Linked DNA regions of Elephas maximus indicus. The protein of the gene in region 1 purifies or fractionates together with the protein of each later gene. This does not show direct contact. Links are inferred from orthologs where the notes say so. Each region holds a gene or a part of one and is shown in the gene's direction. Other genes may lie near its edges.

Evidence for each region.
Region 2: the proteins of LGALS3 (region 1) and SLC15A4 purify together in Homo sapiens (affinity purification with mass spectrometry; 3 studies listed by BioGRID and IntAct, counting the BioPlex papers as one, with this or other methods). This does not show direct contact. The link is inferred for Elephas maximus indicus from reciprocal best matches to the Homo sapiens genes LGALS3 and SLC15A4.
Region 3: the proteins of LGALS3 (region 1) and SLC12A7 purify together in Homo sapiens (affinity purification with mass spectrometry; 3 studies listed by BioGRID and IntAct, counting the BioPlex papers as one, with this or other methods). This does not show direct contact. The link is inferred for Elephas maximus indicus from reciprocal best matches to the Homo sapiens genes LGALS3 and SLC12A7.
Region 4: the proteins of LGALS3 (region 1) and SLC12A6 purify together in Homo sapiens (affinity purification with mass spectrometry; 3 studies listed by BioGRID and IntAct, counting the BioPlex papers as one, with this or other methods). This does not show direct contact. The link is inferred for Elephas maximus indicus from reciprocal best matches to the Homo sapiens genes LGALS3 and SLC12A6.

What each region holds. Positions count from the first base shown.
Region 1 is NC_064828.1:67,459,358-67,467,000, forward strand, and holds the start of LGALS3 (galectin-3), read left to right. Parts: upstream 1-4,555; 5' UTR 4,556-4,640; intron 4,641-7,643. UniProt on the Homo sapiens protein: Galactose-specific lectin which binds IgE. May mediate with the alpha-3, beta-1 integrin the stimulation by CSPG4 of endothelial cells migration.
Region 2 is NC_064840.1:3,144,525-3,152,483, forward strand, and holds the start of SLC15A4 (solute carrier family 15 member 4), read left to right. Parts: upstream 1-4,879; coding exon 4,880-5,440; intron 5,441-7,959. UniProt on the Homo sapiens protein: Proton-coupled amino-acid transporter that mediates the transmembrane transport of L-histidine and some di- and tripeptides from inside the lysosome to the cytosol, and plays a key role in innate immune response.
Region 3 is NC_064820.1:1,173,330-1,180,764, reverse strand, and holds the start of SLC12A7 (solute carrier family 12 member 7), read left to right. Parts: upstream 1-4,418; 5' UTR 4,419-4,484; coding exon 4,485-4,638; intron 4,639-7,435. UniProt on the Homo sapiens protein: Mediates electroneutral potassium-chloride cotransport when activated by cell swelling. May mediate K(+) uptake into Deiters' cells in the cochlea and contribute to K(+) recycling in the inner ear.
Region 4 is NC_064828.1:23,953,620-23,961,651, reverse strand, and holds the start of SLC12A6 (solute carrier family 12 member 6), read left to right. Parts: upstream 1-4,922; 5' UTR 4,923-8,032.

The sequences.
Region 1 (7,643 bases):
GAAGATGTTGTATTTTCATAATTAATCCTCAATGCACACAGTGATTTCTGTGCAAGCCTCTAAACCAAGTAAGCTACAGAGAGGACATTGATGAAAAATAAAGTACCGGCCATTAAGGCACTTACAAATTTATCCTAGAGGGTGCCAAGACATCTTCACAATTCCACCTAGTGAGTCCTTCACGTAGACATTTCTCTCCTATGGTGGACAACAGGATGAAACTATTTGTACACAATGTATGAATTATTTGGTTGCTTTAGGTAGCACATGCATTATTTAGCAATCAGGTTATACCTGGTTTTCTCCGTGGGTGACATAAACCAATCCCTACCAGAATTTTTTGCTCAGTGTTTTCCTGGACCAGTTGTGAAACTTTGGACCTCTGGGCTGTCTCCCTAGGCATTGATTAACTTTGATAAGTAAATCACTTTCCCTGACAGTAAAAAAAAAAAAAAAACTTATCTATTTCCTCGTACAAAATAATACGGTGAGGTTAAAAGCAGAGTATATATGGAGTAACTTGAATGTCCTGTGTAAAATATATTAAAGAGTTGATTAATAATTGCTTCCTAATGGAATTGCTTTGAGACTAGGTCTATTTATCCAAAAAAAGTGGTAAATTTTTAGTCAATTCTTCAGGAAATGGATATTGAGAAGGTAGGATTTTTTTTTTTTTTGCAAACAAAAAAAAACCCAAAACCCGTTGGCGTCAAGTCAATTCCGACTCATAGCAAGCAACCATATAGGACACAGCAGAACTGCCCCACAGGGCTTCCAGGGAGTGGCTGATGGATTAGAACCATCAACATTTTGGTTAGCAGCCAAGCTCTTAACCACTGTTCCACCAGGGCTCCCAACAAAACCACCTATTAATTGAATTTTTCACTCTTTCAAATTTTGATCATTTTTAAAGGGCATCAAATAGATAAGTAGAGGGAAGAGTATTGAAAATAATAAAAGTGAACAACCCACAGGATTTTCCTCCAGTGCTCACACCATAAATGTCCTAACAAATATTTATTGCGAGCCTGCTGTATGTACCTTGGATTCATCAGTAAACAATTCAGCAAAGAGTTTTGCCCTCAGGAGAGGAAGTAAAAGCAGAGGCAGGTGGGAAACCAATAAAAAAAAACAATAAACGTCCTAAGTAAGTACAGTGAAGTACTGTTCAGCCACAGGGAGGGGTAAAGTCCAACTGGGTGGAGGTGCCTGCTGCAGTTTTATAAGGGGTGGAAAGAGTAGACCTCATGGAGAACGTGATATTTGAGCAAAGACTTGAAGTAGGTGAGAGAGTTAGGAAACAACAGGAGAAGAGAGTTCCTGATAAAGGGGACAGCCAGTGCAAGATGCTAAGACAGGAGTGTGCGTTGTGCCTGGTGTACTAGATAAACAGCCTAGAGGGCTGGTGTGGCCAAGGTGGAGTGAGTAAGGGGGACAGCAACAGGAAGGAAGGTCAGAGTTAAACTCTAAATTAAAATGTTTGCTTCCTTCTCTAATTTTCCCTTAGTGCCAAAAAAACAAAACCAGTTGCTGTCTAGTCAATTCTGACTCATGGAAGCTCCATGTGTTTCAGAGTAGAACTGTACTCCATAGCACTTTTGATGATGGATTTTTCAGAAGTAGATCACCAGGAAGAAATCCAAGGTGTCTCTGAGTGGACTCGAACCTCCAACCTTTTGGTTAGCAGCTGAGCATGTTAACCATTTGCAATACAGCTTTATATATCATGTATACTTTGTTCTCTAACATCATAAGATCCCAAGTAACCAGGTTACTCAGGTCAGCTAGCATAATTTCTAAGTTCATAGGAACATTGCAGCCCACTGTGAATCACTTTTTAAAAATATTAATTTACCTTATTATTTTTAGAGTAACAAAATGATTATGTTTTGTACATTTTAAGTCAGACTTTTCATTAATCTCTACCCTTCAATCACGTTCTATCAGTGAGATTGTATTACACTTCCATTTTGGTTTACTGAGTGAATCCATTGCCCAAAGCAGGACATGCATAGCTATAGCACAAAGTTACATCACAACCACCAGTAGGCCAGTTCTAGCCAGGCCAGAGGCTATAAGCTTCCCATAGTCTTGTTTTTGCATGAGCAGGACCCCTCCCATAGCTCCTCTCCTGCTCAGTGCAGCCCCCACCCCACTGGCCTAAGAGCACTCTCGCTAGTGCTAACAAACCAGGGACATCTGCTGTGTCCCTGCTCTCCTGCTCTCCTGCCCCTTGGGTGATGTCCACTACCTACATGAAGGAGTTTCACATTGGCACTTCCAGAGGCCTTCCAGAGCGAGAACACAAATGTCTGCCCCAGGAGGCAGCTCTAGAAATTTGTTGACAGCCAGTGCAGTCCTGGGCTATGTGGAGAAGGGGAAGAACAGCTGCCCCACACCTGAGGGCTGTATTTTGTCACCTGGGCCCTGATGCAGCTTCTCTCAAAAAAAAAAAAAGCTTCTATAAAGACAGCACCATCAGTTTCTGGCCCCATCCTTTCTCCCTGGGACACCAACCCAGCAAACGAGGCATGTAGGACTGAGATTGTTATGTCATCTCCTCTTGATTCTTTGTCCTTACTCCATTCCGTTGCACCAAAAGCCCTTCCTTGTCTAGCCAAAGATCCAAAAGCTCCCAGACATGTCAGATCAAACAGATCCAGAGGCTTTCTCACATATGCTATCAGCCAGACTCGGAATCCCAGTTTGAGATAGGAGACTGTGTTATCTGGAATTGAAACATCACACAGAAAGTACGAGAGACAAAGGGGTCAAAAGGGCAACCCTGCTCCTTCCTCATCTCAAAGATAATTCTACCTTGTGGTCAAATATTCTTTCCATTGCTGAATGACTTTCTCAGCTCCTACTAAATCTATTAACTTTTGGTGGATTGTTGTTGGCATTTTTTGTTGTAGTGATGATGAGTATTTTCTTTTTTTTTTTTTTTTTTACCTCAGTCTGTTGAGTAGCGAATATTCCATTTCCAAAGGCTTATTTCTTAGACCCTGACACACTTTCAAGGAGCCTGGGTGGTATAAGTGGTTTATGATCAGCTGCTAATCAGTGCAAGAAAGGCCTGGCAATATGCTTCCATAAAGATTATAGTCAAGAAAACCCTATGGAGCGGTTCTACTCTGGAACACATTGGGGTTGGCATGAGTTGGAATCAACTGGATGGCAGCAGGTTTGGTTTGGTTTTTGTCTGATATACTTTCAACTTGATGTATGTTGTGATCTTGGTCTTACCTAATACTCTGTGCCTCAGTTGTGTCATCTGTAAAATGGGTATGAAAATAATACCTACCTCATATTTTTTTTCATATGTGTACGTAAAGCACTACTAAGTGTAATGCAAGGCACATAAGTGCTCAATGAATATTAGCTATTATGATTATTATCTGAACTTTTAAAAAATCCACCTTGACATCCTTAACCATTTTACTTGGTTATTACCCAGTTAAATGCTACTAAACAAATACCACCTCTCTTTGCAAGCATAGCCATTTACTCTAACAACCTTTCATACAGCCAGCCATAGGAAAAGACCAAAACTAAACTGGTTACCATTGAGTAGGATACAAGTCATAGCCACCCTACAGGACAGAGCAGAACGACCCCACGGGTTTCCCAGGCTGTAAATCTTAGTGGAAGCAGACTGCCACATCTTTCTCCTGTGGGAGCAGCTGGTGGGTTCCAACCACCGATCTGGTAAGCAGCTCAGCGCTTTAACCACTGCGCCACCAGGGCTCCTTTCATATAACCATAGCAATGTCCTATCTCCGCCTTTACCAAAGGTAATTTTTGTATTTAACTGTTATGTCTTCCAGCAGAACTCTCTCCAATCTTTGAGAAAACAGATATTCAGCCTTGCTAAGAAGTGATTCATCCATTCGCTTGTTCATTCATTCATTAAGCAAAAATTTACTGAGATCCTTCTAGCCCCAGAGGCTGAACTAGACGCTGAGAATGTACTGGGGAGCAAAGAGCAAAAACAATTCGGGGAGCTCAGTCTGGACCGTGTGTGCCCACATCACAGTTTTACGGGTCTGAGGTCAGAAAGGAGAATGAACGCAAGGCCTAGAACGCGGGACAGGTTCACCTTGCGCGGCAGGAACTTTCTGACAGGGATTTCCGTATCGAACTCAAATCAGTGTGCTTTGATGCTGACAGGTGGTTTCAGTAAAGTGAAGTGGAGAAGGGATGAGACTGCTTGCTATTCAGGCAGAAAATGCACAAGGTTAAATAAAGCAAGCAACAAGCTCACACTAAAAGCTCAGTAAGCTCTCCCAATCCTCTTTGAAGCTGTGGGAGTGAGTCTGGAGAGAGGAAAATGAACGTGGTCACACTCACATCTCGGGACTGCTGGGGCGGGGGACGAGGGGACGCCGCCCTTCAGGGTCCCACTGGCCGGCCCCCACTCCCTCACAGGACTGAGTCTTTTGCACCGGCGGGGCGGCCGCCCGGGTCCCGGAAGGGGTTCGGGCCTCGCCCAGCCTGGTGCCCAGGGAGAGGCAGGGCGCGCAGGGCCGGCGCCCCGCCCCGGGCGAGGCGGGGCAGGGCCGGCCTATTTGAGGCGTGGAGCCGCAGCCCGGCCAGGAGCCCCGGGAGCGAGCGAGGCAGCCAGCGGACTCCGAGGCGGGGTGAGCGGAGGGGGCGCGGGGTGCGGGTGCCTGTCAGGCCGGCTCGGGCCGGGAAGGGGCGCGGCCCCTCTCTGGAGCGCTCGGCCCAAGCCTGGGCGACCGCGGCGGCCTGGGCACGGACGGCGGGACGCACCTTGCTCTGCCAGCCTGTGCGGTCCGGTGGGCACCGCCTTTGGGGAGGGGTCCATGACCTTAGATTTTCCAGGGTCTGAGACTCGGGGAAAGTTAGCAACGACTTACAAAGATCCACTACGCAGCGGGCAGGTGTGTCTGCGGACGTCCGGCGGGCGGCACGGAGCACTCTCTGTGGCGCCTCGGAGGATTTAACCACCCTGCCCTCCCTCCGCTGCCTCTGCCAGCATTGCTTTATGGACGTGGAGTAAATCCTAGTGCTTGATAAGACACAGGTCAATCGGCTAGGTCGAACTGCGAGGGGTTATCAAACCAAGCAACCCTCGCTAGCTTGGCATTAGGAGCCAGGTCCCCTTTTCCCGGCACCCCGAGGACTCTATAAGGCGACTCTTGGGACTCATGACTTGCCTGCCCCGGGCTACTTCTGTGTGTCTGCCGAACTTTCATCTGCAGATCTTGCTGTGGGCGCGAAATGAGTTCTTTTAACGGGTCCAGCAACGTGGAGGCAGGGGCTGCAGCTTGCTGTCAGAATGCTGACCCCACAGAAAACGCTGCTGTCCCAAGGCCTGAGAGCGCATGTGTCCAGTTTGGCAAAGTCCGGGAGCCCTAAACTTTTGCAAATCAAGTGACTCATTCCTACCCAGAAGGGTTAATTTGGGCTGTAAGAATTCAGATCTGTGCTGAGGATATGTGGGGTGTGGCAACATGTTGGTCTGAGTGCGCAGAGCCCTAGCTAGGGGACTTTTAAAATAGGTTTGAGGGTTTATTCTGAATTATCAGTTGCTCACACTAAAATGCTTCCGCTCTGGGAGTAGGAATTAAATGCCGGGGAGTCAGGCACACATAGATTGAGGCTGTGTCTTAGGCTTCAGCCCAGCCCTTTAAAGATTCCTATTCCAGATACTGTGGAATATTTGTAAAGTGACTCTTGGAAGTTGGATTGCTGGACAATGAGGACAGTTGGGCCTCAGTGATCTGGTCTGTTTCTAGAATTCTGGGAAAGAAATGGAAGGCAGAGTCACTTAATTTTTAGAAAATGATAGAGATAAAAATTAGCCACAGAGCATCAGAGAAAATCTTCACCAACTTCCAATATTCTGATTTGTTTGCCTCAAGATTATAAAGTTTATCTCTCTGTATTAGGAAATGGTTTGTTCCCATGAAAGTTATAGCTTACTAATAATTTAATTTCCCACAAAAACTGTGTTCTTTTCAGACATCAATTTTGATTCCTTAGAGTGGGGTCTTTGATTTCTTTGATGGTTGGGCCTCATTTGTGTTCTTTGGGGGGGGGGGGGGTTGGAGCTGCTTCCTAAATTTAGAGTTTAGAGTTTACATTTACATCCAGCATTTATTCCATACCCTGGAGGGAAGTTTGATGGTGGTCCTTGCATGTTTATAGCTCAGAAGTGTTAGAAGGTTGCCTCACTAAGTTACGTAAGTAGCAGAAGAGGGAAGTTTGGCCTGACTGATTGACCCCTAAAGCTAGTCATTTTCAAGCAGAATAGATGAATCTGTTTGTTGAGGGGTAGCTTGCTGTGCCACACATACACCTAACACACCCACTGCCGTCGAGTCGATTCCGACTCATAGCGACCCTATAGGACAGAGTAGAACTGCCCCGTAGAGTTTCTAAGGAGCGCCTGGAGGATTTGAACTGCCGACCTCTTGGTTAGCAGCCGTAGCACTTAACCACTACGCCACCAGGGTTCCCACATACGCATAGGTGCTTCTTAAAAACTTTTGATCTATTGCTAGCGAGGTCAAGTGACTCATGTTGGTCTTACCTATAATTTAGGTTTACTTAAAAGCCAAATCCAAACCCATTGTCGTCGAGTCGATTCCGACTCATAGAGACCCTATAGGACAGAGTAGAACTGCCCCATAGGGTTTCCAAAGAGCAGCTGGTGGATTTGAACTGCTGACCTTTTGGTTAGTAGCCTGAACTCTTAACCTAGAACCCTTATTAGCCAGACTCTGAATCTTAACTGCTACAGAGAAGTGTATTTATACAGTATAACTTGACAATCTTGTGTTGACCCTAGTATCAAGAGGCTTGTAAATTTATGTATCTGAGCCTCTTGGTGACTGATCTAAAACATAGCCTTTCTTTCCTGAGATGGCTTGGGACACAGCTTCTGCAGAGGGCAGCTGTGTAGCTCTTTGTGTCTGTTGCCTAAACTGGTTCTTCTTATAAAACTCCAACTGGGTAACTGAAGAGACTGCCAGAACAGTGCTTGCTGTATACTTACAGTTTGCTGTTGACTAAGTATCATATGTTCTGTCTTGATTGCTGTTCAGCTTTTCCATAGGGGAAAAAATCAGTAACTGGGAAGCACAAAGTAACTTTACCTCCCTTGATGCTGAGAAACTATGATGAGGACAAAATCCAAGGAGAGGACTGGTCTCCTTTATCCCAACTCAGCATCATGGAATTCAGCTTTGGAAAATAGACTTTCCTCAAGCCCCACTCTGAGTTTCTGCAAGAGCAGGAAGTAGACTGCCTCTCCTGTGTTCTTTAGGGAGTAGGGTGGTGCAGTGCCCTGGGATTCTGAGGAAATATGTTTATGATCTTCCACTACAGCTTGTGTAAAGGTCTGCTCTAAAACTGAGCAGAAGCTTCACAAGTGTTCCTGGGAACCCAGACATAACTGGATTAATTGCTAGGTGGGCCTAGAATAGCATAATGCAGTGGGTAGCTACTAGTTATTAAAGGGAAAAGCTACTAATTAACAGCCGATTAAAATGGTCTACATTCTGACTCGTGTTTAAATTCCTCGTTCTAAAGCTACACGGAGCTATAATGTGTAGTTTTCCCAAATGTGGAGACCTAAATAGTATCTCTCTCTCTTTTTGCTTGTCTTTCATTGT
Region 2 (7,959 bases), on another chromosome or scaffold:
AACCAAATGAAATTAAAAGAATCATTTCAGATTATTATGAAAAATTGTACTCTAACAAATTTGAAAACCTAGAAGAAATGGATGAATTCCTTGAAAAACACTACCTACCTAAACTAACACATTCAGAAGCAGAACAACTAAATAGACCCATAACAAAAAAAGAGATTGAAACGGTAATCAAAAAACTCCCAACAAAAAAAAGTCCTGGCCCGGACGGCTTCACTGCAGAGTTCTACCAAATTTTCAGAGAAGAGTTAACACCACTACTACTAAAGGTATTCCAAAGCATAGAAAATGACGGAATACTACCCAACTCATTCTATGAAGCCACCATCTCCCTGATACCAAAACCAGGTAAAGACATTACAAAAAAAGAAAATTATAGACCTATATCCCTCATGAACATTGATGCAAAAATCCTCAACAAAATTCTAGCCAATAGAATCCAACAACACATCAAAAAAATAATTCACCCTGATCAAGTGGGATTTATACCAGGTATGCAAGGCTGGTTTAATATCAGAAAAACCATTAATGTAATCCATCACATAAATAAAACAAAAGACAAAAACCACATGATCTTATCAATTGATGCAGAAAAGGCATTTGACAAAGTCCAACACCCATTTATGATAAAAACTCTTACCAAAATAGGAATTGAAGGAAAATTCCTCAACATAATAAAGGGCATCTATGCAAAGCCAACAGCCAATATCACTCTAAATGGAGAGAACCTGAAAGCATTTCCCTTGAGAACGGGAACCAGACAAGGATGCCCTTTATCACCGCTCTTATTCAACATCGTGTTGGAAGTCTTAGCCAGGGCAATCAGGCTAGACAAAGAAATAAAAGGTATCCGGATTGGCAAGGAAGAAGTAAAGTTATCACTATTTGCAGATGACATGATTATATACACAGAAAACCCTAAGGAATCCTCCAGAAAACTACTGAAACTAATAGAAGAGTTTGGCAGAGTCTCAGGTTATAAAATAAACATACAAAAATCACTTGGATTCCTCTACATCAACAAAAAGAACACCGAAGAGGAAATAACCAAATCAATACCATTCACGGTAGCCCCCAAGAAGATAAGATACTTAGGAATAAATCTTACCAAGGATGTAAAAGACCTATACAAAGAAAACTACAAAGCTCTACTACAAGAAATTCAAAAGGACATACTTAAGTGGAAAAACATACCTTGCTCATGGATAGGAAGACTTAACATAGTAAAAATGTCTATTCTACCAAAAGCCATCTATACATTTAACGCACTTCCGATCCAAATTCCAATGTCATATTTTAAGGGGATAGAGAAACAAATCACCAATTTCATATGGAAGGGAAAGAAGCCCCGGATAAGCAAAGCACTACTGAAAAAGAAGAAGAAAGTGGGAGGCCTCACCTTACCTGACTTCAGAACCTATTATACAGCCACAGTAGTCAAAACAGCCTGGTATTGGTACAACAACAGACACATAGACCAATGGAACAGAATTGAGAACCCAGACATAGATCCATCCACGTATGAGCAGCTGATATTTGACAAAGGACCAGTGTCAATTAACTGGGGAAAAGACAGCCTTTTTAACAAATGGTGCTGGCATAACTGGATATCCATTTGCAAAAAAATGAAACAGGACCCATACCTCACACCATGCACAAAAACTAACTCCAAGTGGATCAAAGACCTAAACATAAAGACTAAAACGATAAAGATCATGGAAGAAAAAACTGGGACAACCCTAGGAGCCCTAATACATGGTATAAACAGAATACAAAACATTACCAAAAATGATGAAGAGAAACCCGATAACTGGGAGCTCCTAAAAATCAAACACCTATGCTCATCTAAAGACTTCACCAAAAGAGTAAAAAGACCACCTACAGATTGGGAAAGAATTTTCAGCTATGACATCTCCGACCAGCGCCTGATCTCTAAAATCTACATGATTCTGTCAAAACTCAACCACAAAAAGACAAACAACCCAATCAAGAAGTGGGCAAAGGATATGAACACACATTTCTCTAAAGAAGATATTCAGGCAGCCAACAGATACATGAGAAAATGCTCTCGATCATTAGCCATTAGAGAAATGCAAATTAAAACTATGATGAGATTCCATCTCACACCAGCAAGGCTGGCATTAATCCAAAAAACACAAAATAATAAATGTTGGAGAGGCTGCGGAGAGATTGGAACTCTCATACACTGCTGGTGGGAATGTAAAATGGTACAACCACTTTGGAAATCTATCTGGCGTTATCTTAAACAGTTAGAAATAGAACTACCATACAACCCAGAAATCCCACTCCTCGGAATATACCCTAGAGATACAAGAGCCTTCATACAAACAGATATATGCACACCCATGTTTATTGCAGCTCTGTTTACAATAGCAAAAAGTTGGAAGCAACCAAGGTGTCCATCAACGGATGAATGGGTAAATAAATTGTGGTATATTCACACAATGGAATACTACGCATCGATAAAGAACAGTGACGAATCTCTGAAACATTTCATAACATGGAGGAACCTGGAAGGCATTATGCTGAGCGAAATGAGTCAGAGGCAAAAGGACAAATACTGTATAAGACCACTATTATAAGATCTTGAGAAATAGTAAACCTGAGAAGAACACATACTTTTGTGGTTACGAGGGGGGGAGGGAGGGAGGGTGGGAGAGGGTTTTTTTATTGATTAATCAGTAGATAAGAACTGCTTTAGGTGAAGGGAAAGACAACACTCAATACATGGAAGGTCAGCTCAATTGGACTGGACCAAAAGCAAAGAAGTTTCCGGGATAAAATGAATGCTTCAAAGCTCAGCGGAGCAAGCGCGGGGGTCTGGGGAACATGGTTTGCGGGGACTTCTAAGTCAATTGGCAAAATAATTCTATTATGAAATCATTCTGCATCCCACTTTGAAATGTGGCGTCTGGGGTCTTAAATGCTAACAAGCAGCCATCTAAGATGCAGCAATTGGTCTCAACCCACCTGGAGCAAAGGAAAATGAAGAACACCAAGCCCACATGACAACTAAGAGCCCAAGAGACAGAAAGGGCCACATGAACCAGAGACCTACATCATCCTGAGACCAGAAGAACTAGTTGGTGCCCGGCCACAATCGATGACTGCCCTGACAGGGAGCTCAGCAGAGGACCCCTGAGGGAGCAGGAGAGCAGTGGGATGCAGACCCCAAATTCTCATATGAAGACCAAACTTAATGGTCTGACTGAGACTGGAGGAATCCCGGCGGTCATGCTCTCCAGACCTTCTGTTGACACAGGACAGGAACCATCCCCGAAGACAACTCATCAGACATGAAAGGGACTGGTCAGCGGGTGGGAGAGAGACGCTGATGAAGAGTGAGCTAATTATATCAGGTGTACACTTGAGATTGTGTTGGCAACTCTTGTCTGGAGGGGGGATGGGAGGATAGAGAGAGAGGGAAGCCGGCAAAATGGTCAAGAAAGGAGAGACTGAAAGGGCTGACTCAAGACGGGGAGAGTAAGTGGGAGTAGGGAGTGAGATGTATGTAAACTTATATGTGACAGACTGATTGGATTTGTAAACGTTCACTTGAAGCTTAATAAAAGTTATTATAAAAAAAAAAAAAAAAAAAAAAAAAGACAGGGTGGGGAAGGTCGAGTTCTGGCACTCAATTATCCTCTCATTAGAAAATTATCACATATTAATTTACGTAGCACCATGTCAGGCATCAGTCCATAGTCAGACTTTTTTTTTTTTTTTTTTAAGATAATCACGCTACTTCAAACCTTATTGGCAGGACTGACCTTATCAGAGGACTTCAGGGCAAGCCCCGCTTCCCTAGGTAATGGTTCCCTCCTGGTCTTAGCTGGAGGTAAGGATGGAGCAAGTAATGGGAAAGGGTCTTACTCATTTGAACTAATGGAATCCTTGGATTGCGGTGGTGTCCACTTTGGGGAGACACTCCACTTTAGCACATGCCAGGCACCATCCCAGGCACTGGGGACATGACAAGGAATGAGACACCTAAGAACCCTGTGTCCATGGACCAGGGAACACACAGAACCAGGGGGGATACAAAAAATAAACATAAAACTGTAACAGGTGCTGTAGGGTAACCAAAACCAGGGGATGTGATCAGGCGGGACCTACTCTGGATGCTGTGGTCAAGAAGTGTCACCCTAAGGAGGCCACATTTGAGTCTGGAGCTGACAGAGGGTGACATACCAGCTTTGTGACAGCGGGTGCTCTGTGAAGGTCTGAAAGGGTCTCCAACTTGGCTTGTCCTAGGACAGTGGTTCTCAAAAGGGGACGGTTTTGTCCGCAGGGGACATCTAGTATTCCTGGAGACATTTATGGCTGCCACAAGTGGGGCTGGGGCAGAGGAGGTGGTACTGGCACCTAGCGGGTCGGGACAGTGATGCTGCCAAACGTCCTACAACGCACAAGACAGTCCCCACCACAAACAACTATGGGGCCCAACATGTCACTAGTGCTGAGGTTGATAAACCTTGACCTAGGACATCCTGGGGCACAGCGGGAAGGGGGCCAGCCCCGGGAAATCAGCCTGGAGGGCAGGCAGAGCTTCGAGGCCGTTGCAGGCGTCAGGGTCCTAGGGGTCCACTGGCAGCCTGTAAGGGCTTGCAAGAGCGGGGTATCAGGCTCCGACTTCGTTTGAAAAACACCCACCGAGGGGACGTCACGGCCGCGGCCTCACTTCCGCCCCCTCCGGAAGCAGCGCCGCGGCCTCTCCAGGCTTCCGGGGCGGAACCGGAAGTTCCCGACCGGCTGAGCGACGGCGAGCCCGCCCACTGGGAGGGCGCCCGAGAGGTCTCGCGAGAAGGGCGGTGGCTGTGGGCTCGCGGAGGCCCGGCCGGCGGCGGCGAAGATGGCGGGCTCCGGCGAGCGGACGCCGCTGCTGGGCTCGGGGAGCCACGGCGCGCGGCGGGCGTCGTCGGCGTTCGCGGGCCGGCGCGCGGCGTGCGGCGCCGTGCTGCTGACGGAGCTGCTGGAGCGCGCGGCCTTCTACGGCGTCACGGCCAACCTGGTGCTGTTCCTGAACGGCGCGCCGTTCTCCTGGGAGGGCGCGCAGGCCAGCCAGGCGCTGCTGCTCTTCATGGGCGTCACCTACCTGGTGTCGCCGTTCGGCGGCTGGCTGGCCGACGCGCTGCTCGGCAAGGCGGGCGCCATCGTGCTCAGCCTGGCGCTCTACCTGCTGGGCATGCTGGCCTTCCCGCTGGTGGCCGCGCCCTCCACGCGCGCCGCGCTCTGCGGGCCCCTGCGGGCCGCGCTGCTGGAGAACTGCTCGGCGCCCGTCCGCAACGCCAGCGCCGCCTGCCACGACAGCCCCGAGCGCCGCTGCGCCGCCGCCACCTTCGCGGGGCTGGTGCTGGTGGGCCTGGGCGTGGGCACCGTCAAGGCCAACATCACGCCCTTCGGCGCCGACCAGGTGAGCCGGCGCGCGCCCCGCCGGCCCGGCCCTGCCCACCGGGCAGCAAGCGCTGCGCCAGCCCCCGAGGGCCGCCCAACCCCGACGGCTGCCCAGTGCCAGCCCCCGAGGGCCGCCCAACCCCGACGGCTGCCCTGTGCCAGCCCCCGAGGGTCGCCCAACCCCGACGGCTGCCCAGTGCCAGCCCCCGAGGGTCGCCCAACCCCGACGACTGCCCTGTGCCAGCCCCCGAGGGCCGCCCAACCCCGACGGCTGCCCTGTGCCAGCCCCCGAGGACCGCCCAACCCCGACGACTGCCCTGTGCCAGCCCCCGAGGGCCGCCCAACCCCGACGGCTGCCCTGTGCCAGCTCCTGCGGGTGGCAAACCCCGACAGCTGCCCTGTGCCAGCCCCCGCCGGTCGCCCAACCCCGACGGCTGCCCAGTGCCAGCCCCCACTGGTCACCCCACCCCGACGGTTGCCCAGTGCCAGCCCCCACTGGTCGCCATACCCCGACGGCTGCCCAGTGCCAGCCCCCGCGGGTCGTCCAACCCCGACGGGTGCCCTGTGCCAGCCCCCGAGGGCCGCCCAACCCCGACGGCTGCCCTGTGCCAGCTCCTGCGGGTGGCAAACCCCGACAGCTGCCCTGTGCCAGCCCCCGCCGGTCGCCCAACCCCGACGGCTGCCCAGTGCCAGCCCCCACTGGTCACCCCACCCCGACGGTTGCCCAGTGCCAGCCCCCACTGGTCGCCATACCCCGACGGCTGCCCAGTGCCAGCCCCCGCGGGTCGCCCAACCCCGACGGGTGCCCTGTGCCAGTCCCCGAGGGTCGCCAAAACCCGAAGGCTGCCCTGTGCCAGCCCCCGAGGGTCGCCAAAACCCGAAGGCTGCTCTTAATAGGCAGAACAAGACAGTGTCCTCTGCTCTCATGCAGCTGCTTTCTAGTGAGAAACAAGGGAACAAGTAAGTGGAAAAGCAGTAACGACTGGTTGTGATAGGTGCTGGGAAGCAGCCAACCTAGGGTGATGTACAGGAATTGATGGATTTAAATGAAGGACTGGCCACTATGGAGGGGGCTTTTGAGTTGGGACCGGAGGGATTCCGAACTGGGGAATCAGCAAGTGCAAAGTACCTGGGGCCAGGAAGAGAAGGGAGGTCCCAGTTTTTGCTGCTCTCGGTTTTAAGATAACTGGAAAGAGGATTGTTAGGCAGGGGTCAGAATATGTAAGGTGGGATAAAGAGTCAAGTGTTTTGTGTATTGTAGGAAGCCTTTATAGGGTCGAACTGTTCCTAAGAGTTTGGCTAAGTGTAGAGCCGGTAGGGAAACTAGCCGGTGGGCCCGGGCCAAATCTGTTTTACTTCCTGTTTTTGTAGGGCCCACAAGCTGAGAGCGGTTCTTATGTTGTTAAGTGGGAAAAAGAATCACAAGAGTATTTCATAACAAGCTAATATTACATGAAATGTGCCTTCCGAACTCCATTAGTTGTATTGGAACACAGCCTTTCCCATCCCTGTTTTGTTAAATGTTTTTACTGTGGGTGCCTTCAAATACGGTAGCAGAATTGACAGACCTTAAAATAATTCTATTTGACCCTTTACAGAAAAGTTTGCCAGCGTCCGTTGTACATTTGTATGGAAAATGATGACAGCAGGGATACCAGGTAGGAGTCTGTTAAAACTGGCCAGGTGAGAGAGAGAGAGACTTGGACTTAGAATGGAGGCAGTGGACATGGAGTGAAGTAGATGGATTTGGGATCATTTACCGAGGTAGGATGGGCAGGAATTGCTCTTGGATTCTATGTGCGTAGTAGGGAAAGAGGCATCAGAGGTGACTCCTCGTTTTTTGTACTAAGTGCATCAGAGGTGACTCCTCGTTTTTTGTACTAAGTAACTATGTTGTTACCTGGCCCTAGATAACATTTACTGCGGGCTCACTGAGTACCAGGCACTGTGCTGCGTGCTTTATTATTAGTCTACATAACACCTTGATTGTTGCGTTATTGTGCCCATTTTACAGATGAGGAAACTGAGGCTTGAGAGGTTAAGTAACGTGCCTAAAGTTACACAGCTAGTAGGTGACTGAGCCAGTATTCAAAACCTGACCTTTGAATCAGATCCCAAGCTTTATGGAAACTTTGGGAGGCTCTCCCAGCCACACAGCAGAGAGAAGCCTTACAGTGACGATGAGAGTAACACTTGCCTGATGTATTGAATTCTTAACTGTTTTCCTGCAGCATGGCACATGTTTTACACACTTGATTTCATTCGCACTTCACGTGAATCTTTATGTCCATTTTATAGATGGGGAAACAGGCAAAGAGTGAGATCATTGTCACATAGCTAGCGAGTGGTCAAGCCAGGGGTTTAATTCCGGGTCTGATTACTTAGTCTGCACTGTAACCAGCCCACCAGGATGGAGTGGATTTCTGTGCATCCTGTGATGGGACGGCATAGGTGTGGTTGGGTCAGAGTATTCATCTCGAAGCCTCGGGTGCCATCGACACACACCAGCAGCAATGGCACAGCGCTGTTAGCTCGGTC
Region 3 (7,435 bases), on another chromosome or scaffold:
TTTCCAGTGCCCCTTCCAGCACGGCCCCTTCCCTGCTGCCCCAATGCCAGAAACACGTTCACACCAAGAACAGTGTAGCCACTCCCTTTGCCGGCTTCCTGACGCCCTGAAGGCCTGGCAACCCTGTGTGCACATTCACTGAACATCTAGTCCCGAGGACTCAGGAGAAGGGTCATCCCTCCAAGGCCCGTGCGGAATGGAGGACCCCAAGGCGGTATGTCTGTGACTCAGAGGAGAAGGCCCTAGTGGGCACACATGTCCTCCAGCCGTCCTGCTAGTGTGACTGGAACTTCCACTTCAGAGTGGCGGAGTGCAGCAGGGGCCATGGGCGAATCTGCCTGCGGAGCGGTGACTGTGTCCACTGGCCACCCCAGCGCCCAGCTTGCCCAGCGTGTGGTGCCACACCGCAGAGCTGCTGTTGGAGCTGACAAGGGTCTGTTGAGGGCGTGGGGCTCAGTTGACAACTAACTTCCAAAAGGATGATGACGGCACTGATTGAAGCCCACCACATCTGTTTAAGTCCACCAGCTTATAAGGACATTTAAAAAACCTTTGGAGCATGATAGCAAACCGATTTGCTACCTTGAAAACGGCTCAGTCAGGGAGATGCAGGAGGAGCCTTGGTGGCATGGTGGTTAAGCTCTTGGCTGCTAACTGAAAGGCTGGTAGTTTGAACTTACCAGCCACTCCCTCCACAGGAGAAAGATGTGGCAGTCAGTTTCCGTAAAGATTTACAGCCTTGGAAACCCTATGGGCAGTTCTGCTCTGTTCTGCAGGGTCCCTATGAGTTGGAATCAACAGCACTGGGCAAGGGAGATGCAGCAAGGGTTTACCTGCAGGAAGTGCACCTTCAGTAGCCAAACTCTGGGCAAGGAAGCTGCCCATGGAAAATTACTCCAGTGAGTTAATGGCAGGCAAATGATGCCTTAGGAAACCACTATTTTGCACACCCTGATGAATTGATAAGGAGCCCCTGGTTGTGGAAACAGTTAACAAGCTTGGCTGCTAACTGGGAAGGTTGGCGGTTTGAGTCCACCCAGAGGTGCCTTAGAAGAAAGGTCTGCTGATCTCCTAAAAATCAGCCATTGAAAACCCCGGGAGCATAGCTCTACTCTGACACACATGGGATCATTGTGAGCCAGGGTCAACTCTACATCTTTGGCTGAATCAATAAATCTAGACATGAGCACTAACGGCTGCTAATATCACAAAAAGAGTGGCAACCAGATGTTTGCATCCCATTGAAAGAACACACCACCCCTAAGAGTGTTGTGACAACTGAGCCTGAACCCCATCAGGCTTCTGGCTCCAGGTGCCCGTTCCCAGGAAACAGGCAGGAGGAGTATGCTCTGCTGGCAGGAGCTTGGCATCAGCAAACCCAGAGCGTGGGAGCCTGTATCCAGAGCCTTGGAGGCTCCATCCTGCAACAGATAGATTGTATCCAAATAGGCCCCAGGAGGCTGCAGATACCTTGTAAAGGAGAGGAAGGGTTGAGGGGAGGCTGTAGATAAAGAGATGGAGAAGACATGACATTGAAAAATGGGCAAAACCCCAGCTATGGTGTATATGGGTGTACTCCGGATGGAAAAAAACATAAAGAAATGGAAGGAAGTGGTTGTATGTGTCAGAAGAAGCGTTGCTTTTGGGGGGAGGAGTGGGGCTGGGACTGGGTCTGGGCTCATGCTGGGGTTTCTGGGGGCTGGCAGCTCTTGCTTTTGAGAGACAGTGGTTACAGGGTGTTGATCTTATAATAACTCACTAAACTTAGAAAAACAAGCAGCTCTGCTCCCACCCCAGGTCTCATCTACAATTTGCATGAGCACAACAACTGATTTTTTTTTTTTTTTAAATTGTGGTAGCCATGAGTTGGAAAAGACAGGAACTAACGACAAGTATCTATATAATAAGACATTTGCCATTTGAACATTCTTCACTTGTGCGACTCAGTGACATTCCCCATGCTAGGCAAGCACAGCCACTATTCCTTTCCAGGTTTTTCTATCACCCTTAACAGACACTCAGTGCCCCCGAACAGTACACAGCTGGCTCTTACACCTGAAAGGTTGGAGGACCGAGCACAGTCTTTGGTTGTTGTCAACAGGAAGGTTTTGTACGGCTGAGAAGGTGGACTTCCCTGTTGAGAGCCGGACAAAGCTCTCAACTGCTGCCTTCGTTCCCGAGGGCTGCTGAAACACAAATACCAGGAGTGGGTGGCTCTGAAGGACAAGAATTCATTGTCTCACAGTTCTGGAGGCTAGATGTCCAAACCAGGGCACTGGTTCTAGGGGACAGTCCCTCCTCATCTGCAGTCCTGGGGATGCTTTCACATAGCATCTAACTTCCCCTTGACAGCCTGTCTCTCTGTGTGGCTATTCTGCTCACTTTATAAGGAGCCATTCCGAGGACCTCATTAACGTAACAAAAGAGAACTCTGTTTCCCAACCGGGCCACATGCACACGGAGAGGGATTGGGATTTCAACATGTACTTTGGGGGGACACAATTCATGCTGTTTTTGTTAAAAAAAAAAAAAAAAAGTCAGTTCTGACTCATAGCGACCCTACACACAACAGGATGAAACACTGCCTGGTCCTGAGCCATCCTCACACTCATTGCTGTGTTTTAGACCATTGTCGCAGCCACTGTGTCAATCCATCTCCTTGAGGGTCTTCCTCTTTTTCAATCCATAACACCTGCCAAGTGACCTGTATCTCCTGGGCCTCAGTTTTCTTACCTGTAAAATGAAGGGGTTGGGCCCACGGATGATCTCCTGTGGTTACAACACAACTGGGTGAAGCGGAGACCGGGCCCTGGACCATCCAGGCCAGCCCTGGCCGTCAGTGCTGAGTTCACAGATGCACCTCCCCAGCTCTCCATGTGGCAACCAGGGTAATAAATTCCGCCCCCCAGCACCCACACTCCTTGGTTACCCAGAGCAATGCTCTGATCATGTCAACAAAGCCAGTCTCTCCCTGGGAAGAGCACAGGAAAACAGTTTTATCCTAGGTGTGTGTGTGTGCGGGGGGCTTTCCCACTTCTTCCATCCCTGCTGACCCTGGAGAGGCGGCTGAAGACCACCAGAACCGCCTTCGGCCCCTACCTTCATGACAGACCCTCTTGAGCACCCACTGGCCACTCCTGTCCCTGTCCACACCCAACCCTGCCATGGTGGGAGGTGGAGGGGGAAGGTGGGGGCAAGAGTGTGGATGAACTTCTGCAGCTGGCTGGTGTTGGGGTGTGGGTGAGGGGCGGGGCCAGGGAACTTTCCAGAGCTGCCCAGGCCTCTGGCTTCTGTAACACCTGCTTTCTCCCAGCAGGGACAGAGGGTGGAACTGGCCACCCTAAGGCTATTCTCTTGTCTCTCCTTGGAAATAGGCTTTCTGAGATTGGTGTTTACAGTGCACAGAAAAAGAGGAGCCCTGATTTCCCACAGCCCAGAGGAACTCAGACCCCCAGCCGCCTCCTCAGCCTATAGAAACACACACGCTTTTTTAAATAGGATTAGGCCATTCAGTTTTTGTTTTTCACTTTGTGATATATTGTGGCCATTCTGGCTCACAACACCTAGTTTCTACCTTATGGTTGCAAAACGGTTTTGGGGTGACTCTGTGTGGCTTTAGGTTAACTTTTTAGACCAATTCTTTGTTGGTGGACATGTGGCTGCCCCTAGTCCTTTGTGTTATTCCTTAGGGGACCCACCAGGCTGGTGAAGACAGGAGCCACACCTGAGTCCCCCGGCTGAGCATCCCTTGCCTTCTCTAATGAAGGCCCTGATCATTCCCAGGGTGTCAGGTCCACAGCCTGGGGGTGTCTGCGCCTATCTGGCATGGGCTGCCCCAGACAGTGCCCTGGTCAAGTAACAGCCCAGGACTTGGTGCCGGCTTATGTTCCCTGTGAACAAGTGTTCAGGCGCTCCTCTCCCCTCTCCTTCGCTGGCCCGTTGGACCGTGGGTGAGGACGGGGGTTACTGCCCCGCGGGGTGGGCCTCGGATAGTGCGGGAACGCGGCGCCCTCTGCACAGGGGTGGGAAGTGTGTGTGTGTGTGGGGGGTGGGTGATGCCTCCTGCGGGGTGAGTGACAACGCAGGGGGAGGGGGACTGCCCTGACGAGAGGGGGACGGGCAGTGCAGGAAAGGGGGCACTGTGGGGTCGACTCCCCGCAGCGGGGCCAGGCTGGGATGGGGGGTCCCGCTCGCGCAGGCCTGGGGGCCGGGAGGCTCAGCGCGGCCGGGGAAACTTTCCTGGGGACGCAGGGCTGGCGGTGGGCAGGTGCGTCACCTGGACCCGGGCGGGGTCGGTTGGTCCGGGCGGGGGCGGGGTCTTTCCGGGATCTGTCCGGAGCGGGAGGCGGGGCCGGCCTGCGGGCGGGGTCGACCCGGGGGCGGGTCTGGGGGCGGGTCGCCGTCCGGGGCGGGGTCACCGGGGCCCCGGGAGCGGTCGCGCGCGCGGGCCGGCGGACGGGAGCGCAGAGGCGCCGGCGACCGCCATGCCCACCAACTTCACCGTGGTGCCGGTGGAGGCGCGGGCCGACGCGGCGCAGGCCCAGGACGGCGGGGACCAGGCGGCCGGGCAGCCGGAGGCGCAGGGCTGCCCCGAGGGCCGCGCGGGGCCCGAGCCCGACTGCCCGAGCCCCGGCCCGGGTGAGCGCTGGCGGCGGGGGGCGCACCTGCAGACGCAGGCGGGGCGGACCGAGGGGGGCGAGGCGGCGAGGGGCGCTGCGGGGCTGCTGGCTCCCGTCCCTTCACTTCCAGTCTCCCCCCGTCGGTTCTCCTCGCTTCCCCCTGCTCCTCCCCCGTAGTTTCCCTCCACCCGGGACTCCTGAAGGCCCCCCACCTCCCAGCCCTCTCCCCTGCACCCCCTGCCGGCACGGGCCCCCCCAGTAGTGCCCCTCAACGGTTGTGGGCTCCTCCTCTCGCTCCCCTCTGCCGCACCCAGCCTCTGCGCGATGGGCGACCCCCAGGGGCACTTTCTGTGGCACGACTCGGTGTGGGGGAGGGTCTGTGACGCACGTTGGGGGGCAGCTGTAGAGACTCCCCAGGTGAGGGGGCTCTACCGCCCATAAGCACCCCCCCGGTGGGGCGCCGCGGAGACCCTTGCCGGCTCTTCCTGTTTCCTCCCAGGGGGCCTGAGCTCTGTCCTCTGCAGTGAGCAAAGGGCCCGATAAGCGCTGGCTGGAGTCCCATTCCCCATGGCCTGACCTTGGACAGTCTGACCCTCCAGGCTTACACAGAACGACAGCCCCAGGGCAGGGTCGGGTGCAGTGGGCCTCGGGGGCCCATTCCTCCATCCCCCATCCCAGTCTTCCTTTGTTGGTGGGTGGGTCCCTGCACGAGCTGCTTGTTCTCTGTGCTGTTCAGGGTGCTGAGGGCCCTTCCTGGCAGGGTACATGAGCGTGGTAGGTTAGCGTGGGGTGCGTGGAGGAGGGACTTCCAGATAATGAAACGTAGCCACCCTGCATTGCACTGGGGTGCCCAGAGGACACTTGGACACTGCCTGTGTGGCTCCCGGCCCCAGCATGACAGGAAGGGGGCAGGGTCACAGGTGATGGGTCCTTCTGAAGCAGGGGTGCAGGTCGTTGTAGCCTGTGGCCCTCGCAGGCAGAGCCAAGGACACCTGTGGGCAGTTCAGGGAGACTGGGAACGCTGGTGAGAATGCCCCTTTTGGCGTCCCTTCCTGTGGGTGAGGGGTCAGCCCGGCTTTCCTGCACATGAAGGTGGCAGGTGGGACTCTCCCCTCTCCTTGGATGGTCAGGGACAGGCCACCAACAAGAGTGTTTTGCACAGGTAAACTGAGGCAGCAGAGCCAGCACCTTGTCATCTGCTCAGTGGTGCAGCCTGGTTGTGGTTCCTAGAGGAGCCTGGGGGCACCTGTCCAGGCCCAGCCTCCTGCCTGTTGCTCCGCCTTAGGCAGCTGGTTAGCTTGCTACCGGTCTTCAGCTGGAGACTGTTTCCTCCTGCCCGCTCTTCCTCTCTCTGGAGCCACCAAGCTCAGAAGCAGTGCTGGGCCTCAGACGGTGGGCAGCTGGCCAGCTGAGCACTGTGGCCAGGGCGAGGAGGGCTATGACTTCCAAGGGCAGGTTGGTGCCTTGGCCTGTCCTCCCTCTTTCTGAGAGGGTCTGCCTTCTCAGCCTCAGTCTCCTCAGCTCCCACCCAGGATAGGCTGAGGTCCATGTTGTGTGGGGTCCGCATTGCACAGAGGTTCATGGTGAGCATTCGAGGGCCAGTTTCCATACCACCTGACCCAGAAAATCTGGCCGCACTGAAATAGATTCCTGACTCTATTGCGGATCAGCTGAACCCTCTGGGAGCCTGGGTCGCTGGGACCTGGGAGGCCTTCCTCTCAGAGATGTTGTGGGTAAAGTGAGTTTGGGAAACCCTAGCCCAGGGGTCCTCAGAAGCACCTGGGCCACTCACAGCCTCTGGGGTGAGGCCAAGATGCTCCTTCTCACGTGGTGTGGGGAGGATGGGACAGCCAGAGGGGCAGGCGCCCCTGTGAGGCCCACCCCAGGCTGACCAGAGCTTATCGAGGCAGCCCTCGGGTTTGCCCGGACTGGTGGTGGCGTGGCAAGGTCCCTCCACGACCTGGAGCTGGAAGGTACTGGAGTGCCCGTTAGCGGAGCCCTCCCCAGAGCCCTCCCTGTTTTCAGTGCAAGGGTCTCCACGGGAGGCTGCGATCACACACAGTGGGTTCTCCAGCCCTTGCCATGGGGGCCTCAAGGGCACTGTGACTGGGCAGCATGATGCTGGCTGAGCACTAACCTTGAGCTGTCCCTGCCATGGGGTCCTGGCTCTGCATGGCGGGCTGTGCCTGTGACCCCGGGCACCGTGTGTGTGCCTCCTTGAGTGCCTGGGCCTGCCTTGGCGGTTTCCCCTTTCCTCCCAAAGCAGTGGAAATTGATCGGCAGGAAGGGCAAGGCCAAGGTGAATGTTGATTTGTGCATCTTAGCTTACCCCTCAGACGACTCAGGGATGGGCTTTCCCGCCACTCTCCCTGGGGGCCTGGGGCGCCAGTGATGTGCTCTCTGAATGACTGGAGGTTGTCTTTACTGGGGGCTGGGGAGCTGGGTTCCCTTCACCCACCCCGGGCCATCACGCCTTCAGCATTTCTGGTGTGGAAGACTTGTTTTGATGTGAAGAAGTTTCTCATTTCCCCACGAAGGACAGGCTCGTTCTATTTCTGCCTGCTCCCTGATACGTTCTAAGTGTATAAACTGCCTTCAGCAGGTGGACCTGCTTTACAGAAAGGGGGAGGTGAGGAAGACAATTATGTTGCATGTGTGGATGGTTTTGACTTCAGAGCACAGGCTAGCTGACCTGGGTTAGCCTCACTCTTCCTGCACTGTGGTCAGGGTATTCGTCCCCCAGGTCGTGGGGTGGTGCCTGGAGGCCTTGGGCAGTCTTACATGAAACCACACAAGGACTGGGGGGAGGGCCGGCC
Region 4 (8,032 bases), about 44 Mb from region 1:
CAGTGTGGTGAAAACAGTAACAGTGGAAGCTGAAGGCTCTGACTACTCGAATGTTAATGCCCCCTTTAATAGTTGGGGCAGCAGCCAAAAGGGCTGAAGTATCTATCAAGTTAGCTAGCCATCAACTGCCCTACTACATTCTTTCCTCTAGTGAATTCTTGAAACTTCAGGTTCCTGAAGAAGTAGCTGGGAAAGGTGGTGGCATGTTATGCTCTCGGGCTTCTTTCTGGACTTAAGCTGTATTGTACTTATTGTCCTTGTTTTATATTGACTTTTATTATATAATTAGTATATTTTATTGACTATATGATTTATTTATTATACAATTAATTGAATACCAAGACTGAGAGCTCCGTTAGGGCAGGAATGATGTTTTGTTCATCATTGCATTCCTCTTTCCTGGCATAAAAGGGACAGTCAAATATATATTGAACAAATGCATTATTCTTTCAACCTCATCAGAGTATGAGATTTTCCTGGTGCTTTAACTTGTAGAACTCTTTGCCTTCCTTATTCTACAATATTATAAATCCTCTACAAAGCAGTGTCTTTTACATATTTACTATCTTTCAGTTGTTTGTCGCAAAGTTGATTATATATTTACCATTGATAGCATTTTATAAAAGCCTGTTTTCATAGACAATAGTTGGTCTCCAAACTAATTGACACATTCATTTAATTATTTCAATAACTGCCATGCAGTAAGGCAAAATTTAGAATTTGTGGTCATTTTATTATTTTTAAACTAATGTTTACCGTCCTAGTATGAGAGAGAAAAAAATGTCTATTGAATATAGTAAATAAGGAAAATGTATATACATTTTCTAGTTGAGAAAGAGGGTCAGTATACTTTTCAGGCCCCAGCTAAAAGCAGTAACTCTAAATTTAAGTAGTAAACTCAGTGTTTTCTTCTAAAATATTTACAGCAGTCTCTAACACAGAGATATTCAGAGTGTAGTATGGCAGACGTTGCAGGCCCATGAACTATTTATTACCTGTTTCTGAGGAGATAAGTTCAGAAATGGGGAGTTTTTAGAAACGTGCATAGCAGTTTTATGGAGCAATTTCATGTCTGTTTAATAATAAAAATATATATATACCACATTTTGTTTATTATCCATTTGTGGTTAGTTTTTTAACTTGTATTTAGTTCCTGGCCAGTGGTTAACAATTATTCGATAAGGATATCCATCCTAAATATTTTAAAGTAATAATTCACTACATTAAAAGCAACTACCTAGAAGTAATTTCTTCCTTCTTTACTATTTCTTTAAAAACACCATTACAGGCAGTCCCTGGATTACTAACAACATCTGTACCTAAATCTATCTAAGTCAAATATGTACCTAAGTCAGAACAGTTAATAGTATCCAACGTCAGTCAGATGTTTGTCTTAGTATATAGTGTACCTTTCTACGCATAAAAAAAAAATTAAAGAAACACTTCCAGATACACTAAAACATCTTTAACATAAAAATACAGTAATAATAACAATGTTTGATGCGTGTTGAAAAGTAGTGCCCATTTGTTATTACGAACCGTTGTACATACCTTGGATTTTCAGTATAACAGGCCTTCTGGGGGTTGGCCTGTAACTACGGGTTGTAGGTAAATTGGATGTTCGTAATCCAGGGACTGCCTGTAGTAACAAATACTGTGGGCATGCAAGTCTTAATTGGTTATAATTTCAGAGGTTTCCGCTAGTATGGCTAGATCTCGATAGTGAATGAGCTTTGAATGGTGTCTTTAAACTACAGGCATTGGATTGAGTTTAGGAGAGGTCTTTATTATTTTCAGTCTGTTCCCAACTCAGAATTATTTGCTCTTTCCTTAGTATTCCTGTTGAACTTTTTCTATGTATGTCTCTCTCATAAGGTACTTACGTAAATTCTCATCGTGTGTGTGTGTGTGTGTGTGTGTGTGTGATAGTAATATCCGTGGAAATTCGGTGAAAAAGTATAAACAGATAAGATGAAATAAGGCTGCATTTTGTATGCTCGTGGAATGTGTTCTACTTTATACTTTTCCAGTTTTTTATTAATATACTAGTACCTTTGATAAAGCTTTAATTCCGTTTTTTAAAAAAGAATACTGTTGACTTTATTACTAAAACCTTAACATCATGTATACAGGATACTCTCGAGGATGACATTCGGTACATCTCAAGCATTCAAAATACATGCGGTTTTTAATTCCAGGAATTTCAACTACTGTCCATTTATTATAGAAGTTTTCTTGCACCATGGATCCATTTTTAGCATTAATGGTTATTAGGTCTTTTTTAAGACTGATTTTAGCTATGAAATCGTGTGGCTCTAGATTATTTGTATAGGTTTAAATTGCATGATGCAGTTTGCAGTTTCTGAAAACCAAGAGAAAATACATACGACTTGCTTTAAATGTGGCAGTGATTTTTCGTGCTATAGTATAACTGTGTTACAATCTGATAGAGAATGTTTATGTTCAAAATTTCGCACTGACTTTCCCTTAGTTGTTTCAGTCCTTTCACGAAATCTAACTTGTCTTTTTCCTGTTTTAATAAATTGGTTGAATAAGACAAAATGCTGGTTACCATAAGTTATGAGCTGTGATTAAAAATATATAATTGGTTAATGTAGCATAGTAGGTCGTACTTTCAAAATACTACCCAAAATAGACCCGTTCTTCTGAAAAATGGACATACTAACTTTTTTTTTAACAAACATATTAGAGTCACAAATTATTTCACTGAAACTAGTTGGTAAAACCAATATAATATTTATAATATTTGGCCTAATGTATAATAAAAAATAATTTTTTTTTATAAAACACTGAGTAATACCATTTGTAAATGCCCCCTTTGTCCTCATCTGCTCTTATATCTTACTACTTAAAAATAATTTTTTTTACTGTAAAATTTCAACTCTGTCCCCACTCATTTTAAACAGCATTCAAGATTAGACTCCAAGTACAAGAAAAACATTTATGCAACCCCCCAAATTTCATATAAAATGGAATTTGACTCTTAAGTGATTTATTTTATTCTCAAATCTAAAAATCTTTAGGTATTTGGACTCAAGTTCATTGTATTTTTTCCCAGTGTTTTGTTATGAAAAATTTCAAATGTATAGAAAACTTGGAAAAATTGTATAGTGAACACCCATATCTTCACTCCTAGATTCTGTAGTTAATATTTTGCTGCATTTGCCTTATCACATACCATCAATCCATCTAAACACTTCAATATCCATATCATTAATGTATAATATATAATGCATAATTATTTTGAGATTCATGTATGTTGTTGAATGTATCAGTCATTTGTCGCTGTTTGTTGTTGAGTAATATTCCATTGTGTGACTATACTACAGGTTTTTTAATCTATCTTATCGATGGATACCTGGGCTGTTTCCAGTTTGGAGCTGTTATGAATACAGCTACTATAAACATACTTGTTCAAAAATTTTTATGAACTTATTTTAACTTTTATTAATAAGTTTCACTGTCGCCTTTTTATTACTGAGTTGTACGATTCTTTATTTTTTTGTATATTCTAAGTACAAGTCCTTTGTCAAGTATGTGTTCATTTTCATAATGGTGTCAGTTCACTGTATTTTTTCAACACTGTATAACAAAAATTTTTAAACATACAGAAAGTTGAAAGACTTTTACAGTGAACATCCATATACCCACCATCCAGATTCTACCATAAATGTCTTATTTTAATTGTCCTGTCATGTATCTATCCATCTGTCTATCCTGTTTTTATGTATTTTAAGGTAAATTGCAGATATCAGTTCACTTTTCCCAAATACTTCAAAAAATATGTTCATTAGAATTCAGTATTTGTTTGCAGCTATTTTTATTTTGAGGTAAAATTTTCATACAATGAAATGCACACGTTTTAAGTGGACATTGGCTATTTTGACAAATATATACACCTGTGGAAACCTAAATCCTATCAAGATATAAAACATTATCATCACTGCAGAAAGTTATTTCATGTCCCTTCCCAGCTAATCTCCGCCTGCATCCCCCTAGCTGACCCACTGCTATCAAGCTGATTCTTTCTCATGGCAACCCTGTGTATTTCAGAGTAGAACTCTCAGCTGAAGCAGATCATCAGGCCTCTAGTCCATGGCATAGCTGGGTGGGTTTGAACTGCCAACCTTTAGGTTAGCAGTCAAGCTCAAACCACTTGTACCACCCAGGGGCCCTTCCATCCCTCTAGAGGCCATCTGGTGGCTCAGTGGTTAAGAGCTCAGCTGCTAACCAAAAAGTCAGCAGTTTGAACACGCTAGCAGCTCCTTAAAAACCCTATGGGGCAGTTCTACTCTGTCCATTAGGGCTGCCATGAGGTGGAATCGACTCGACAGCAATGGGCTTTTTAAGGAGTAGAAGCAACCAAAGGAGCTTTGGTGACACAGTGGTTAAGTGGTCAGCTGCTAATCAAAAGGTTGCTAGTTCAAACCCATCAGGAGAAAGGACTTGGTGATCTGCCCCCGTGAAGATTCCAGCCTAGGAAACCCTATGGGGCAGTTCTACTCTGTACTATAGCGTTGCTATGAGTCGGAACTGACTTGACAGCGCACAACAACAACAACAGGAAACCACCGTCCTGGTTTTCTTTTGTTTTTTTTGCACTATCAGTTTAGCCCATTCTAGAACCTCATTCATATCAATGGGATAATATATATAATACATTATGTACTCTTTTGTTTAAGGCATCTTTCAGTTACCATAATGTTTTTGAGGTTCATCCATGTTGCATGAAACATTAGTTTATTCCTTTTTATCCTGGAGTTGTATTTCTTTTTTTGGTCAATATTATTTCCAATTTTTAATGTGCATAAACATATTAAAAAAACCATTGCCATCAAGTTGATTTCAACTCATAGTGACATATACACAACATATTTTAAAAATGGGCTTTACAGCATATATGGTTTTATTACCTAGTTTATTGTGAACAGTTTCCCTTCTACAACGGATAAAATACTTGGCTTGTGTGGACAAAATATAAATTACCAATCTTGTTGGGGAAATTTACATACAGTTTTTTCCTTAGGACGCTTCATTCTCTTTATAATACCTTGAGGAAAAAGGGGCATGTCTTACAGAGCTTGTCTTATATCACTTTCTATAGAAGATGGAAACTTGCCCTTTAATTTAGCGTTTTAACTTGCTTCTCTAGCTACCTAATCAATCGAGTAATCAGTCTTATTTTTCCCACTCTTCTTTGTCTATTGTTTGCTCTCTCTTTTCCACCCTCTTTCCCTGGTACACACGTATTTCTATTACGCCAGCACTCATTCCCCCTCCCTCCCATTAAAGATGCTTTCTTTCCTGTTCCAAAGATACTCTTTATTGATTCTGACTGACCTCAAAACTTTATCATCAGTTCCATCTTAAGATTATCTAAAGATAGAGTTCATATGTTTAAAAGAAAACATTGATATGAACCTCTTTTTAGAGTTAGATGTATCAAGGAACAGGATTTGGACAGAATGTAGATATGGCCAACTTTTTTGAAAATGCAGCTTTTTGGGAGGGAGAGCAAAGCAGAGGATAGAAGTAGTTGGCACATTAAGGAAGTGTTAGGGATCCATTATTTAAGTGTATTCATCATTTCAAGGCAACTAGCAAGTGATCATCTGTCAGTTAACAACATTAGAGCAGCAGCCTTTACTGGCCATGAAATTTCCATGAGACCTAAACTTGTATTTCCAGGAAAAGGCAAATGTTTAGTAGTAGAACTGTGTAGAAAGGCAGATGCCAACTAGCATAAGAGTGGTGCATGCAGATGACATTAATTCTGGAGTCCTGGAAGCCATGAGGTGCTCATCTATCACATGATTATCACAACCAGGTAAAAATGTCTGAGCAAAGCACTGAAGCCAGTCATGCCAGCATTTACACATGGAACACTTCTTGGGCAGGCAGGTGTCATGGGGCGCACACCTACAATTCACTTTGCAAAAATCATGCTCACAGTTCATCCGTAGAAGTAAGGAATGCAAGCGCAAAAGAATCCCAGGGTCCAGGTTCCCCTGTTCAGACAGCAGGTCTTGTTCAGCTCTTTGCTGTCCTGGATTCCCGTGAATGACAAACTTGAACGACTGATGACGTATTGCAGGCTCCTCTTGGAACCAAGTGTTAGTATTTCTCTGTGGTGGATGTATGAGTTCATGGTGGCCCAACCCAGCAACCAATCCCAGTTCACGTGCTTTGAAAATGGTCACGATCAAAATCACACTGGAAGAGAAGCCCTCTGTCTTCAGCAGTCTGTAGCTGGTAACAGTTTAGGGATAAAAATGTTAGCATGGCTTTGACACAGTCATTGGCCAAAGCACCCAAAGGAAAACAATTTCCTGCAGTAAAAGTTGGAATTTAAAAAGAAAAAATATCCCAAATAAGAAATATGCTTTCCCCAGAAGGAGTCAGGATGTCCAAGTAAAGTGAGGTACTTGTCCCATTGTCCTGCACCTATCCTGGGTGCTGTTTCTGTATATGAGTGTATTACGATTTGCTTACTCATTCTACTGCAGATGCTCACCTGGGATATTTACAGGTTTTGGATATTATAAATAAACTGTGAACATTTTAGTACATGTCTTTTTTTGTGGACATATGTTTTCATTTTGGGGAGTAAATACCTAGGGGCGGAATTGCTGGATTGGGGAGCCCTGGTGGCTCAGTGAGTAAGAGCTTAGCTGCTAATCAAGGGGTTGGCAGTTCAAATCCACCAGCCACACTTTGGAAACCCTATGGGGCAGTTCTGCTGTGTCCTGTAGGGTCGCTATGAGTTGGAATTGACAAGACTGCAAAGGGTTTAGCTTTTTTTGAATGGGGACTGCCAGACCCATTTCCAAAGTGGCTGAGACCAAGTTACACCTTCATTGACAATGTCTGAGAGTTCCTGTTGTGCATCTTCACCAAATTTGGTGGTGGTGTCTTTATTTTAGCCACCTTGGTGGGTGTGTAGTGGTATCTCCTTGTGTTATTTCTTTGTACTTGACTATTTCTTACATCCCCTCTATTTACCACTCTCCATACACACACACACACACACACATACACACGCTGTCCAACTTTACTAGCTTTCCCCCAACTTTTTTTTATACTGCTTTAACTTTGCCTTCAATTGTTTTTGCACCTGTACTTTTGTCTACAGTTCACCCTGAGAGAGAACTGTTATAAAATTGCTGGTACCAAATTTGTGGTACCAAAGCATCAAGTGGATAAATAAGTTACCCTATCTTAGGTTAACAAGAATTCATGTTTCCTACCTCAAATTTTTTTTTTTTTTACGTCAGTGGCTTTAGAGGAAGACAAACCTAGTTTTAAAGCCTGGCTTTAACTTTTTGGTTTTGTATTTGGAGGATTTTTGTTTAGGGGGAGGAAGACAAGATAACATTGGTACTTAGGCTTATACACACAAGTTGTATACAGTTTTATAAACACAGGTCATTGTTTCTGGCCATTGACTGTAGAAGATCAGCTACAGTTCAGCTCTTTTTCTAAAATAAACATAAAAGGCAAGATCCAGCTGAAAACATCCAATTATACTAAAGTATTAATGGATTTGGAACCCAGAATATAACACTGAAATCTTTGACAGCTTGCTGGCTACTTTAAGTTCCTCTCAATAAATTAGTAGCTACCTGAGTTGTAAGTGTGGTTGTAAATATGCTCCTGATTTAGTTTCTTTCAAAGATAAAAATAGTTACAAAGACTTCTCAGGTGATAAACTTTTTTTTCTTTCCTGTATGGTGGTGGTGTTAGGTGCCATCAAGTTGGTTCCAACTCATAGTGATCCCACACACAACAGAAAGAAACACTGCCTGGTCCTGTACCATCCTCATAATCGTTACTCATTGTTGCAGCCACTGGTCCAGTCCGTCTCATTGTCTTCATCTTTTTTGCTGACCTTCTGCTTTACCAAGCATGTTGTCCTCCAGGGAATGGTCCCTCCTGATAACATGTCCAAAGTAAGCAAGATGAAGTCTCATGGCCCTCACTTTGAAGGAGCATTGTAGCTGTACTTCTTCTA